Linked DNA regions of Styela clava. The protein of the gene in region 2 purifies or fractionates together with the protein of the main gene of each other region. This does not show direct contact. Links are inferred from orthologs where the notes say so. Each region holds a gene or a part of one and is shown on either strand. Other genes may lie near its edges.

Region 1 (7,925 bases), on a different chromosome or scaffold from region 2:
CACAAATCATGATATGTCTTGTTCATTGTTAATTTCAGAAAAAGTAAACAAAAACCCTCCCTTTGCTTAATGAAATATAGATTCAGATAATACATATTCCTTTTGCGGTAATCATTACCCACTAACGCAAACTGATGTTTTAATTGAACACATTTACAAAACAAATAAAAAACTATCATCCATGGGTGAGTGAAACACCTTCAGAAAAAACAGAAAAGTAATTCCAATATAATCAATAAACGCACACACTCAACTTCACAAATTTTCTATGTGAGTGCCACATTCAAGAGGTGACAAGGACCTTTGACAAGAAAACCAATAATGGTTTACAATAACAGTTGAGAAATGAGAACAATGAGAATTATGGTAAACTTTGTGATCTTTAAAGATTAAGATGGCAATGAAAAAAGAAACTGGACATGTAAGTACATTTTTAAAACAAAATTAAATTTCAGATATGTAATGCCTAGTTCGTAAAAATGGAACTTCACAATTTGAAATTGATGAAAATTTATTTTAGTAAGTAAAATACAGTCAGTTTCTTACCCTTTGATTGGGTCAACTGCAATTGCTCTTGGTTGATCAAGCTGATCCCAGACCAAAACTTTACGAATCTTGCCATTTATGTCATTGACTTCGATGCGATCGGTTTCATCATCTGTCCAATATAATTTTTTACTTATCCAGTCACAAGCAAGTCCATCAGGACGTACAAGTCCAGTTGTAATGACGTTTCTTTTTATCCGATTTTCAAAACTTACATTCGTGAAAGTTGATTGTATTTTATCCTGTAAAATGCATCACAGTGTTTACGTGTTATAAGAACAAATAATACAAAGCAAAATTAGAATGACACACAAATAAAACCAGAATCTGCTATTAAAAAAGCTCCATTCCATTGGATATACATAAGAATTATAGATATTCAATTTTTGTCCCATGATCAAAATAGCTACATACCAGACAATGGGCTGCAAAACCCATAAAAAAGCAAAAAACAACATAAGCCTAGTTCAACAATTGATAATGTTTGTCCAGCTTTCCTAAAATTCCTGCTAATATTGGCAATACCAGTTACCTGTCCAGCTGCTGAATCGATCCAAAATATCAAATTATCTGAGTAAATATAATCACATGACATTGTGTAGTCAATATCGTCTACTATCAATTCAACATCAGTTGGATTGGCCGCGTCGAGGAGTTGAATGTTTGCACGATTTCCAAGCAGGAGCTTGGGCAAATCATTGGAAGCTGTATAAAATATCAAATAATAAGTTAGAACACGATAAAAAAATTGACAGATTTTAGAAATGTGAAAGATATAAAAAACTTGATCATTTATTATTTAATATAGCATTATTTTGTAACAAGGTTTAATTTTGAATGTATTGCAAAATTTACACAGAACATTCGATGCGATTACTAATTCAGGGTTTTTATTCACATACATAGCATTACTAAAATAAAATTAACTTCCTGAGAAATACACATCGTATTCCAACTTTAAAACTTGAGACATTTAAGGAATTTGGTTTAGCACGGACTACCGGTACTACTACAGGCAGATAAAAACTTTCGACTCCAGCTCGGATAAAACTTTAATTTTGATAACCAAATTTTTGGCAATTCTTTTTTCAAATTCTTAGTCATCTCAGCGGTTTTGAAATTTGTTGAAAATATTATTACTATTGAAAATTTTTATTTCTGACTCCAGAGACATACAATTATGACACTGGCTCAACTCTGTCCTGCAAGAAAATTTCAAAATACGACTCCATCTCAGACTCTGATATCAACAAAACATGCTCAACTCCCGACTCCACGGGCAAGAGTGCAGCTGCAGAATTGAGTAACTAACTATCGGCAGGGTGTTTATGCTACACAAGTCAGATGTCCGAACGATACACATTCGTATTTTATGTTTGTGCTTATAATATAGGTTAAACTGGCACATGTGTTTCAATGTGTTTTAAACCTTATTAGAGTCTTTGTCAGTTTTCCTGATTTTCCTAATATTTTGTGTGTTCATTGTTTTGTTTTATGTATGTTTTTCATGGGAGGATATTCAAATGAAAATTGGGGCTAATTGACTAAACGCCTTCATGTACTTCTAGTTGGCGTGGCATAACCATTTTCGCATATGTCATTTCTAACCCCCACCTGACTACGCCAACCAAAAATTACGTCACAGTGACAAAATAAGGCCCGTCAAAGTATATGGAATGTTGTCTAAAACGCGCAGACAATCACCCAGAATCAAGCAAGCTATTTCTCTCGTTTTCTCGTCTTAGCGATCCAGATATGAGAGAGATCGCTGGCGTAAGCAAGTTTTATATTGTCGGCGAAGATGCCATTTCGGGCAATCTTAGCATTTCTTTGGCAAGCTCTATGACGTTGTAGTGACTTAATTTTGGAATGATGTAGTCAGGTGGGGGTTAGGAATAACATATTATGCAAAAATGTTTGTGCCGCGCCAACTAGAAGTACTTACGGCGTTTAGTAAACATGCGCCTTAAAATTTATATAATCATCAATAAAGGAAATGATTCACTCCAAACACTTCCTTATTTATCAATAACACTTCCTGCATGTAACTATCCGGTATAAAAAATAAAATTGAAGTCAATAAGTATTGTATATACAAGGAACACAACACAAAAGTGAAATGTGACAAGATAGAAATATGCTATCTCATGAAATCATGAACAGAGAAAAGAACTTACCGAGAGGTTCAATAAATGAATAAATGAGAATGAGGTAGAAGATTATCTTGAGTACTCCCATTTTTTTAAACGGTTGCCCAGGTAAATCCACAAACAAGCAAATATTAAAGATCTTTACAAGAATTTAAAGTTATCTTGAGGTAGACGAGTAACTTTTGAGAACAAAGTCAAGCTTCACTTTTTTCTTGTCAGACATAAATCCCATGATGTGCAAACAACTTCAGGTAAGTCAGTAAATAGCTTCATTTTTACATAATATAAGAATCTTTATTGATAAAGCTTCATATAAAATACTGTTAAAAAAACAGGTTAATATTTGAAAGTTTGACTTGTTTATGAAAGTTTGAGCATAGGTACCGTACCGTAGATAGTTGTGAGTGGAACATGCATGACACTGTGACATGAGATTAAAAATGCTGAAATGTGAGTTCAATGTACTAAATGCAAAAATGGATACAACAACAGCCAAAAACCTTCAACAGGCAGACAGACATAGGATTACAGATCCATAAATACCATAGCTTGTTTGTTACAACACCTACAGACCTACTGTAGACTATGTTAAAAAAATCATGGTTAATAGATATTACAGAAATGCTTTTGCAGTATTGGATTTTTGAACTAGAAGCCAGCTTAATCCAATACTGTATTACGGGTAGCTGATCCTATTTTAGCATTTGCTATAAGATAAGATAAGTTTATTTAGACTCCATAATCCAGTAATCAGCAGAAAGGCGATAAAACGGTTGATAAAAACAAATAAATAAAAACTGATTATGAAATCAGGAGAGTAAACAAAACCTTGGATAAGGTTTAAAACGTACATTATATGAGATGGAAAGTATTGCCAAAAAGTAGTGGTACGTGTTAATTCACCCATGGTACCGGTACCGGTACCTACAGATTGACAGACCTAACCTACCGGTACTGACCCACGCTTAGACAGGTACCGGAATCTGATACCGTACCACCGGTACCGTAGTCCAACTGGCTAACTAATCACATGTCGCTACGGCACCGTACTAACGAGACGAGAGGTCGGTATGTAAAATCCTATACCGGGTACCGGTACTACCGTAGTCGGCCTACAGGCTCACATGCAGACAGTTCAGCAGGTACGGTACCATACCGTATGCAAATCGTATGGTCTTCTTTGCCGTTTGTCACTTTTGCCTCTTTTAATATTGTCCTTTGCCTCTTTCAAAATTGTCAATTTTACTATGATTCACAGTACAGCAGTATGAATTCTAAGCATGCAATGTAGGTATACAAGGTACGGAATAACTTATACGGCGCTTTTTTTTGCCAATTGATCGAATTAATAGTTGATTAGTTCCCATCCAAATTTGATTTGATCCCATTCCCAGAAATAAACCTTTGCATAGAAAAATCATGGAGGCAAAAAAAATTATACATCCACAATGATAAAAAAATAAATAAATGCAAACACAAACATATTAAGAAAACCACCAGACCACAGAAGAAACTGAAATTCTCGGCTGTAATACGCTCGTCATCGAAGCTGTGATTAGTCCGGGGCTGCCACTTTTGTCCGAATAAAAGCATCTAGTTCGACCTCAAAAAATATCTAGATTCTAGATTTCAAATTTGCAGTTACTGAATTTAATAAAAATAAACAAAACAAACAAATAGTTATATCACATCATAGTGAATTTCGAACATCATTTGAAGTTAATGTTGTTGCTACAGTATCTTCAGAAAAATGTTTTTGCTGTAGGGCCTACCTATTTTTTGAAACTGAAACAGGTTACTTATAAATTGTTTCTTTCGAATTGGGTGAACTTAATAATACCTGGTATTGCATTCAGTGAATCTGCTTTCCTGCTGTTTTTTTTTAGTTTGGTCATTCACAGTTTATTGCACTATATTTTATGAGTGTCCGCACACCGAATTTACCGTCACGGTTTTGCGTTTGTTCGTTCACCGTAAATATATTCTACTACGATTAAACTACTTATCAGTTAAACTACTTACCTTTTCCGCAATGCCCAATCTAGCAATCAGTGTAGTTTTTCATGGCTTGGTTTTTCTTAAAACTTTCATGGCTTCATGAGTATGTATGTATGTTTATTTGCCACAAAAATGGAACAGTATCTGCATAATACCTAAACTACTTACCTTTTCCGCAATGCCCAATCTAGCAATCAGTGTAGTTTTTCATGGCTTGGTTTTTCTTAAAACTTTCATGGCTTCATGAGTATGTATGTATTTATGTTTATTTGCCACAAAAATGGAACAGTATCTGCATAACGGTATAAAAGAGACGGGATACATGTGTAAGACCTTACTGGCCTAAGACACAGATGTGGACATGCACCCCAACACGTATAACTGCAGTTTAGGACTGCTGCGTTATAGTAGGACAACAGACATGAAATATACAAATAAAACTCTTGTACAGGTACAATACACATGACAAAGAGGTACGGCACCACAATGATATGTACAATATCAGTTTATGGCACGTTCATGTCCCAGGTTCTGATGTGAAGGTATGACTATCGTCGTCAATTTATTACATTCCACTCCCCACATTATCTTTGAATGTGATTGTATTGGTCATTATCAACGTAAGTGTTAAAAGTACAACAGCCCGAAAGTTCAATACTATCGTGTATTTTGTTTGTTAAGTTTGGCCCAAACCTCATTCAACTGGGCTTGTGTTTTTGTGTGCGTGCTGGTGGGCAGGGACATGAGATACTTCTCATGGTATAAACTTTTTTCTAGGTTTTGCCTGCTCTCCAGAATTCTCCATTTTTAATTTATATTTGTTATGGAGTTTTCAAAATAAACTATCTGTCTATTCATAATAAGTATAAATTTATTCCGGCTCCATAATCAGCATAACAATAGAATGATTGATAAAAACAAATAAATAAAAAATGATTATGAAATCAACAGAGCAAACAAAATAAGGTTTAAAACGTACAGAATATAAGTTGGAAGGTTTTGCCAAGAAGAAGTGGTACGTGTTCACTCGCCTAAAATTATTTCACATACGCACCTACCACACACACACAACTAAAGAGAAATAATTTAAGTAAAAAAGAAAACGCGACAAGCTTATGGTAAACTACACAGTAAACAAAAATATCAATAAAAAGGAAAAAAATTATTTGCCACACCATGTTAATAATTTTGTAGTGGTTGCCACTGCTAAATTGATCAATCTTCTAATTGGAAGTGAACAGTAAAGATAAACTTCTATTGAAAACATATTGCCAAGTTGGGGCATGTATTAGGTCTTGTATCTTCATCGTTTGTTCTCCGTGTCTATCTACAATATTAAACTCATCTACAACGTACAACACTGTTCTTTATTGGCTAAATTGGTACTGGTAGGCACTTTGTAAAATTTCGTTTTGGTCTTCGTGTGTGTCGTCATCATATATATATTTGAGTATAACCAGCTTGTTTTCATGGCAATCATATATCAAAAGCTGACTGTGGAGTTGCTGACAATGGAAATTCATCCAATGTCGATGTTGGCTCAATGATACCAAAGTAACACTTTATAAATGCAATAAACCATAATGTACAGGTGAGGGAATTTTGCTGAACTACCTTGCTGTGATACGGTTGTTCATACAGACACACCCCCCATCGCTGCTACCTCACTATAATACATTCAGTATCTTATATATACTCTTTTTTCTTTTAAGAAATGACCGTTACATCAGTCAGCTTTTGTAGAGCGAAATATCTCTTTTGATCGTTAAATCTTTTCTTATATATATATATGTATGTTCTTGATTATCTTTCTACATTTATTCGACTCAAACAAAAGCATCGTGGGTTTCAGTAAAATCAAGATATTTATGCATCGATGATGCTCATGATTTAGTTTCAATTCAAATCGTTTTTAACATGATTGAGTGCGGATTTATTATATACACACTTTATAGATTAATTAATTATTTGATGGCTTGGATTCTATATATTTTTTCAGGAATTTTGACGATTGTTATTTACATTAATTTTTAAAACTCATTTTCACGAAAATCGCCGGCAGTGGAAAAGCTCAGACAGTTAGGCAATCAAGCAATGGCGTTTAATGGGATGTAGCCTACAGTCAGTTTTTACCACTTTTTTTCGTTTTTCGGCTGTTTGGTATGATATTCGGACAAAGTACGATGCTATTTAGTCACATTTTTGAATAGCATAATTCATGCATTTAATGTTTCCATCAGCCAATTTACTGATATATATATATATCTATATATATATATACTTTATATGTATTTAATTGTACCATACGGGATTTCATTACAAATCTTAAGATTTTTCTAACGGCGATAACGAATTCGCAAGATCACAAAAAGTATCGAAACTAAATACAATTAGGCATGCTCATCTCATATTTTTACGTCAACAGATTGAGCGGTATTTTAGACTAAAAATGTTTATATTTTTGACGCAAGAGGACACAACCACGAGTCACGTTGGACACAATTATATCAATAAAGAAGGAAATTTCATAGAGTCTCGTAGCTGTCATGAATTGAATATTTTACGCGACCGAAGGGCCGGTATACGCTGAAAAAGTCAACCCATCTTACGAGCGCGTAATCGCGGCGACTGTTTCAGAACCCCCCTTTTTGAAAATCCTGACTGCGCGTCTGGCTGACTGGGTACTCCATGGAAGCCACAATTCTCATCATTTCAGCGTAAATATTGGAATGACTTTTATCTTCTTTAACAAAAATATTGCGATGAATTTTATATTCTTTAGTATTGTCACATTCACATTGTTTCTGGCTACAAAACTAATCGTAAGTGGCATTTATACCTATTACTTACCGTAAGTCGTACAAAGACAGGTCGAAGGTAGAGATGCCGTATGACAAAATCCCTTGTAAGCTAATTTCCATGCACGTTATCCTATAAAATAATTTTTATTTTTCATTCTCTTACTTTTCAAATAAGGTAGTTGCATAATTATGCAAACCAAACACATAAAAATGTTTGGCACGTGAAGGTGCTCATTATTCATAAAATGGCACGCCGAGTCCAGAAGGTTGCCGACCCCTGGTTTAGTATATCGGTGAACCAGCATATCAAATTTTATTTATTTCGCAATATTATGCAACGAAACAGTGTTGCATGCTGAACATTACTAATCTGTCTGTTGATGTTATCTTAAACTCGTGCATGGTAATTCGATATAAATTAGAGATCTGC
Region 2 (7,990 bases):
TTAAATATATGTCTATAAAAAATATATAATAAAATCATGTGTGGATACTAAACTAAGGAATGCATGTTATAAAAGAAATATTTTGAATAAAACAGAAAAGAAGCTGTAATGGCCCTTTTCTCGACTTTTGATCACCGAAAATATTCTTTCTATACTTTACCATTGCAAATTTTTCGAGGCTTATTTTAAGAATTTCGGGTTTGCTTCGGGCTCGGGCCTGCAAATACAGTTAATTAGTCGGGCCAGGTTGGGTTTAATACCCACGGGCCCGAGTCGGGTCGGGCTGGAATTTTTGGGCCCGATGTTACCTCTACTCCATGTGTAGAAATCACCATACCCTTTGATCAACTTATATCGGAAGTGATTTTATAAGAAATACATTTCAACTATAATATGACTATTCGAAGGTTTCAAGACAGCTGCTATTGTTAAAATTTTTAAAAGAAATTTATATGAAAATATTCAAAAAAAAAAGTTGTTATTTAAAGCTGGTATGCAATCCTAGTTTGAAGCAATATTCACCAAAGTATTCCAACAAAAGGTTTACAGGAGTTTAAAAGTCAAAAATATGTTTCTACTCATTATCTCGAAGCAGCTTTTTCAAGTTTTGCTCTTTTGGGTTATAATCCTCATATTGTAATATGTAAAATTTACACAGGTTGTCCAAGAACATAACGCTATGATTTGCATCTTTTCATTTGTAACCATATCTTTATTACATCATGTTTGTCTTTTTCAATAGTTTGCTTGTTGTAGCCATTGCTATATTTGTAAACATACACTCTTTTTATCATTCATAGCTGAGAAGAGAAGAAGAAACATTAGACAATATCAAGCAATATTTCGTCAAATGCACCAGCAAAGAAAAGAAAGCCGATGCTTTGTCTAATATTTACAGTGTACTATCTGTCGGCCAGGTACTGGTGTAATTATTTATAGAAAATTTCCTTCCTGTATTCTGAGCATAATTTACTATTTCAACATCTTCTATCCTTCTGTGATCGGATTAGTCTTTATTGACACTAATATAGGTTTTCTTCTTCAGAACACTTGCAAATTATAATGAATGGTCATATGAAGGTGCAAACTAGGGATAGGATGAGATTCTTATTTGAGTCGAATCCACACATTTTACGACTCAAATTTGAGCATTTAATGTAAAATCTATATAATGTTCAAATAATATGTAAACTGGTAGTCTATCCATCTTGGATTGCCAGATACTTTATCTCTACTTTATAAATTAGGCTAATTATGCCTGGCCAACAGTTATCCAACATTGTAGCCTTGACCCCAGCATGAACTTCACTAATACTTTTCCCAGAGTAGTTATGAGAGAATGATGTGTAATTGTTGAATTTGATTTTTAATTGTTACTCACTGAACTGATTGGCGTTTTAACTTGACCCCTCTCTTTCTGGAGTGTTCACTATTTTAATTTTCATGATTGGTTACAAATTTTTGTATGCAATGTCTTATTTTGTTGAAACTAAATTCCAATCCATTTAATATTTTTTGTCAGGCAATCATATTTTGTGCAACAAGAAAAACTGCGAAATGGCTTGCACAGACGATGTGTGAAGGAGGATTTGTTGTTGCCTTGCTAAGTGGAGAACTGGATGTTGAACAGAGAGCTTCAATTCTACGTCGATTCAAAGCTGCCAAAGAGAGAGTTCTTGTAACAACAAATGTCTGTTCGAGGGGAATTGATGTGGAACAGGTAAATTTTCTAAAATATATTGTATGCTTATTCATATATATATATATATATATATATACGCTACCTCATATACTGAAATAATCTGAACACCATCATTTTTTGTCATATTGTTTCAATACAACATTGCATAAAAATAAATAGTAAAACATTGAAAAACAGACCACAGAATTTTCTTCTTTTTTCTCAATTTATTTCCCTTTATGTTAAACAGGTCACACTGGTTGTGAACTTTGACCTTCCTATCGATATGCAAGGAAGAGCGGATTGTGAAACATATTTGCATCGTATAGGTCGCACTGGCAGGTTTGGAAAATCTGGAATTGCAATCAACTTTATCAGCCAAAACAGAGATGAAATGGTTTTGCGAGAAATCGAAAAACATTTTGGTGAGTAGTGTTGATACCAAGGTATTGATTAACCAGGTTTTCAATGTCTGAGGGTACAATAATAATGATGACATTTTCTAATACTGCTATGATGCAATTCACTAGAAACAATCATGGAAGTGGCACATGACAAGATGTTAGAGTTACGAGTCTGATTTGACTAATCCGAATAATAACTGAGCTTAGAACTTAAGTTGAATCTTCAGAGTTTGTGATTTCACAACAGATAACAAAAGCATGTTTCACAGATAAATTGAGCCACATATACGTGGTTCATGCACCGAAAAGCACATAGACATATTTTCTGGCCACATTAGGGACAGTACGCACCTAGTATGTTACGAAAGAAATCAATATTTTCCAACAAGACCCTGGTGATAGATACATTATGTTTTCAGAGAGCCTATGTGGTCGATTGAATGATTTTGACTAGATATTGTTTGTGCTGATCTTCGGAGGGATGGAAAGTACATAGCATAGGTTTCAATTAGTAGATACAGAATTTGATTGAGACCTAATATAGAATCCTTGTCCCAAAAATATGTGGATTCTAATTAAATCAAGTTCTGATCCAAATCTCGACCCATCTGTACAAAATATATGCAAAGACATATTTCAAGATAAATATTTTTGTGTCTTCCAAGTGACATTCTTTATTGCTGAAATTATGATGCTATAAGTATCATTTTGTTTATCCTGTCCTTTCTCTAAAGAGCACTGATGGGGCCAGAGAAAGGTTGTGGAGAAAATGGGTATATATTATTCCAATAATCGTCTATTTTTTATCAGGGGTTTACTAACCCTTGTAGTCAATTGTTAATGCCAATACTGTATATATGTATATAGGCATAGCATACTATGAATAAGGGTAACAGGGACTTATTACTAACGTTATGGTTGTTTTATTTCAGGAATTAAGGTTCATAACTTGGACACCAATGATTTTGATGATATGGAGAATAAGATTGGGGAAAAGTGAACAGAAATCATGCACACATTTTAGACTTTGTTTTGAAATTTCGTTTTTTGATCAGTTACTACTTGCTGAACTTTTTTATTCAATAAATAAACAATTTCTTTCTCCATTCCAAAATATTCTTCTCTGTTTTACTGCTGTAGCTGAATTCGGTGTTTTGAAATATTAGTCAGAGAATGTGAGTTTACAACAGTGTATTTATCATGAGTACTTTATCATTGAGTGTATGCTCAAATATATGGACACGTCACAAGGTGCCACTATATTTTATTCTGACACATAAAATACGAATCTCCGCAGAAATTTTTGAAAAAAGTAATAGCCTTATGGCGAAAAAATCAATCTTTAACCACTGAAAATTTCTAAAGCAATTGGTCCAGTATTCGAAGAGAAAAGCGATTTTATAATGGTGATGAACTACAACATAATATTGAAACGATCGTTATGTCGTGTCCAATACCGTGTTTTCTCGAAAATAAGACCTAGCCTGGATTTTAAAAATCATTTTAATATAAGCCCTCCTCTTAAAATCAGACCTAGTTGATACGCAAAATTGTTTTTGACCTAGTCGGTAGCAAAAATTCTCTCCTGCACGCTTTAAACGATTGATAAGCTAACTTTAGCAGTTGATTTGAATAAAAAAAACGTGTTATTTATAAGTAAATAGATAACGGCTTTCATATTTTGTATATAAATTTGAAAATCTCGTAATTCTTTACTTTGTAATTTTGTTTTTATTAAATGAAAATATAAGATATCCCCCGAAAATAAGCCCTAGTGGTACTTTGCGGAAGTAACTTGAAATAAGACCCAGTCTTATTTCCGGGGGAAACACGGTAACACGACTCAGCCCGCAGGTGCACAGCTGAAAACCACGGGTCTGGGCTGGAGTAATAATTGAATTGAATATCAATCTGAAAAATATGTCTGAGCACTAAAATTTCAATTGTTGTCTCATCTTTGGCATCTGCTGATTAACCGATGTTATCGAAATAAACATGGGTGTCGATGGTCAGGGAAACATCCGCTGAACAAAATAAGATTAGCCTTGCTGATGAAGACATGATGGAGAGAACATCACCCTCTTTGTTGCCCTCACCATGGTAAACGGGGATTTGGCGCCACATAGCGGCATAGCTGAAATTCGGCATATCAAAGGACATGCCGCGGAATTCGGCACTGATCAAAGACTTCGGTTGGGCCTGACGAGCGGATGTTTTGAGGTTTTGCGAAACTTGGTTGACTGATTCGTAGTCTCTTTTGTTCCTTTATATAGTTTTTCCCAGCTAGTAAATTATCAAATAATTTTCAAACACACCAGAATAGTTACGGTATAGGTCGTTTTAAGTCTGAAAGTACAGCAGTTCTACCAAGGTGACTCGTGACTGAAAAATGAATGGCATGGATTCATTTTCAAAAATTTGATCAGTATCAACTACAGCAGACTACGTCTAAAACTGTACCGGTACGCTTGAATATAAGTTGATTGTCGAGGGTTGGTTGCTGAATTAGAGGATGACAACGAGACCAAATCAGAGAATTCTGGGATTAGCAGTCGATTAGACGGGACTTGTGAACTTTCTGATTGCATTGCTGTAGATTTATACAGATGTACTGGTATACTCCAGAACTTATATAAATCAGTACAAACTGTATAACTTTATTTGCCTGTGACAGTAGGCTATGACCTGTTGGTTTATAGTACAGTAGTATTACAGTATTATCATATTTGTACCGGTATGTAGTCGCAACAATTAAAACTGAAAGAAGCTATTATGACTCAGAAATAATAATATAGTCCTGTAGACTAGTCTATTATGATATTATTATATGCAGATATGAGTTATCGGTTCATGTCTGTAATGAAATACAAATTTTCATGATATTGTTCAGATCATTCTAATATCATACTATTGCTTATATGTGAAATTTAGTATAAAATATCAAATGAAAATGGTTGAAAAATAATTACAAAATGCACCAAGTCAAGCAGCATGAATAACTTTGGGGTACAGTCGTTTTTACAAGGCCATAACTTCACAAAGCCATATGCAAGACCCCCTGCCATTGGAGAAGAAAATGAGGTCACATCTGTTGATGGACGTATGTCAACACATAGCAGTGTGAGTGGGAAATCCGAACTGTCGACTGCAACACCCAGGTATATTTCATAGGTTCTTTTTATTTTATCGATACATTCCAGCATTCTGAGTCCTCCAGTTGTATGTTTGTGTTTTATTTAGTCTTGTTGATAAATACAATTTAATTCTAAAAGTTCATTCTGGAAAGCAATTGACTACGTAGATTAGTATATGTATCATTCTTCGCTCATTTCTCGAAGTTTTAAACCTAACTATTCTGAAATTTGATTTTTTTTTTCAGGCGAACTGACATAGATCTCGGATTTGAACCAGAAGGAAGCGCTTCACCTCTTCCTACTTGTGATCGATGGAGATCATCACTTCACAATATGTTGGAAGATAGTGAAGGAATTCGATTATTCAAAATATTTCTTGCTGATAGCAAAAGACAAGAATTATTAAATTGTTGGTTAGCTTGTAAAGGATTCAGAGACTTTGGTACAAAAAATAATTATTCAAATAATTCTTCGGCTGCTTCATCAACAACAGGACCATTGACAGCCCAAAGAACTCAGTTTGATGCTGTAACTAGGTGAGAATTATTCTATTGGTAATAGTTTTGAAAGTATATAACAGAAATATGGAACTTGCTCGAGCACTGTAATCCACTGGCTCTCAACCTTTATCTCTTGTGGCCTATTTTCAGCGTCAAACAAAATCTCAGGCTCACAAAACCTTCGAGTATCTTAAATGTTTTTATTTGAACATTACCAATACAGTAAAAGTGTCAATAACAAAACTAATCCATGTCTATTTATCAACTTGTCAATTTGAACTACCAAATGAGGGTTCAACCTCGAGCATAAATCACCTCTTTTTTTTTCAATTTGTACTTGATGTTTTCTTGGGATCTACTGTAGGCTCAATGAAAACTTCAGGCCTATTTTGAAAATCTGGTTGAATTGAATTGTAGTTTTCTATTCTAAGCATATCTACTGGATCCCAATTTTATGTCTATGCAATTGTCCAATACTATTTCAAAATGGATTACCAGCTATTTTCTTGTACAGATTGTGCATCATTGCTAGTTTTGTATTCATGCATTTGTTGATTATATTTTCAGAGGAAAACTTGCAAAGACGATTTTCAATACTTACTTGAAGAAAGATAAATGCCATGCAGTGTCAAGTATCATAAGAGATGCGACCCGACAGTATATTTGCAAACAAATAAAGAATGCATTGCAGGTAAGTTTTTTTACAACATGAATATATAGTATAAGTAATAATTGTATGGTAATAATGAATATCTGAATTTTGACATTGATTCCCAGCTTAAATTGTTCTATCAGTATCAGATATAAACTAGACACATCACTTTTTGGTTGTCTAACTGTGCCTTTCAATAGTTTGTGTTATGATTTTTGATAGAATTGAAACCATGTTAATGAATGTCAATGAACACACTATGTATTTATGTTTAATATATAATATTAAGGTGGACCGTTATCAAAACCATGACAAAGATATATGGTTTAGGGCGGGTGTGCAACAAGCGGACCATGACCCGGCCTACTAAGCCATGTAGTTAGGCTTTTGTGAACAATCTGATTTTCCTAATTAAGCTTACAATCATAATTCGAAAATTTATGTTTAAAAGGCGCTCATATGGTAAAATACATAATGTTTTATTGCGCTTGTCAGTTGTCACTGCAATTAATCTTCTCTGGTGCTACATAGAAAAACTAAATTTTGTGTGGCCCAGGTAGATGTATGAAGTTTGTTTTATGGCCCACTGCCAAAAAATGTAGCACACCCCTGGTTTAGGGAAGAGTTTGTGTTATGTTCTTGTTATGCACAATGTTTGAAAAAACAAATGACTGGGTTTTGGTCAGTCCAATTTCCAACTCAAGAGCTGATGATTTCATTGGATGTAAACTGTACAGTACACTGCCCTGTTAGTCATTGAACTTGTAGAAAAGTTTTCTCCAACAATGCTTCTTTTTTTAGGCACAGAAAAATATGTCTTGTTCTGTTGAACTAGACGCTTCTCTGTTCGACCAAGCTCAAAACGAAATCGAATCCAATATTGAAGAAAATTCATATATTTCATTTTTGAAAAGCGAACTTTTTCAAAATTATGCTGCACAATGTGAAAACAAACCCAGTAAACAAAGCCCTCAAAATGCATCTACACTTCATCATTCCGAAAACAAGGTGAGGTCTTGATTTTGTGCAATTTTTCATGTCAAAAAGTGCTTCTCCACATATTGAACTTGCCTGTCACTGTTTCTTCATGTATCGCATTTTGATTACTTGCAATCTGATGTAACTTGAGATGATTTATATAGTTGGTTCCTTATGATACTTAAAATTAATGTGAAGCCTGATTATTTTAACCTATAGCCGACATATGTTTTTTATTTCAAAATTGTCTCCAGAGTGCACCATCGAATGCTCCTCAAGCTGCTCCAACTGAATTGACGGTACCTGAGGGCAGATATGGATATTTACCAAGACTCGATGAGAATCGAGAATGGTCTTTGCCACCTGTCCAACCAAAGTAAGAATTTTTGCTATTCATTATGATCATTAGCTATTAATCATCCTAGAGCAGCGGTTCTCAAACTATGGGTCGCGACCCACTGGTGGGTCGCAAAAGGAATCTTAGTGGGTCGTTTAAAGATGTAAAAAGCTTTGATTAATTATACTGGGTATTAGGATCGGTGGCGACTCGAATATGTAAATCCTAAAAAAAAAAAAAAAATTAAATTGAATTTAAATTCTGATCTGTGAAAGTTTCCTTTTTACGATCTTCTCAAAGGAAC

Evidence for each region. Proteins that work in one complex are often made in the same cells at the same time.
Region 1: the proteins of axin-1-like (region 2) and low-density lipoprotein receptor-related protein 6-like purify together in Homo sapiens (affinity purification with western blotting; 3 studies listed by BioGRID). This does not show direct contact. The link is inferred for Styela clava from reciprocal best matches to the Homo sapiens genes AXIN1 and LRP5.

What each region holds. Positions count from the first base shown.
Region 1 is NC_135261.1:20,798,411-20,806,335, forward strand, and holds the start of low-density lipoprotein receptor-related protein 6-like, read right to left. Parts: upstream 3,028-7,925; 5' UTR 2,785-3,027; coding exon 2,724-2,784; intron 1,252-2,723; coding exon 1,079-1,251; intron 789-1,078; coding exon 547-788; intron 1-546. UniProt on the Homo sapiens protein: Acts as a coreceptor with members of the frizzled family of seven-transmembrane spanning receptors to transduce signal by Wnt proteins.
Region 2 is NC_135256.1:17,129,897-17,137,886, reverse strand, and holds the start of axin-1-like, read left to right. Parts: upstream 1-4,961; 5' UTR 4,962-5,076; coding exon 5,077-5,243; intron 5,244-5,464; coding exon 5,465-5,755; intron 5,756-6,286; coding exon 6,287-6,410; intron 6,411-7,172; coding exon 7,173-7,379; intron 7,380-7,603; coding exon 7,604-7,725; intron 7,726-7,990. Other genes in the region: ATP-dependent RNA helicase DDX19A-like, read left to right, coding at 801-917, 1,523-1,720, 1,932-2,106, 3,018-3,085. UniProt on the Homo sapiens protein: Component of the beta-catenin destruction complex required for regulating CTNNB1 levels through phosphorylation and ubiquitination, and modulating Wnt-signaling.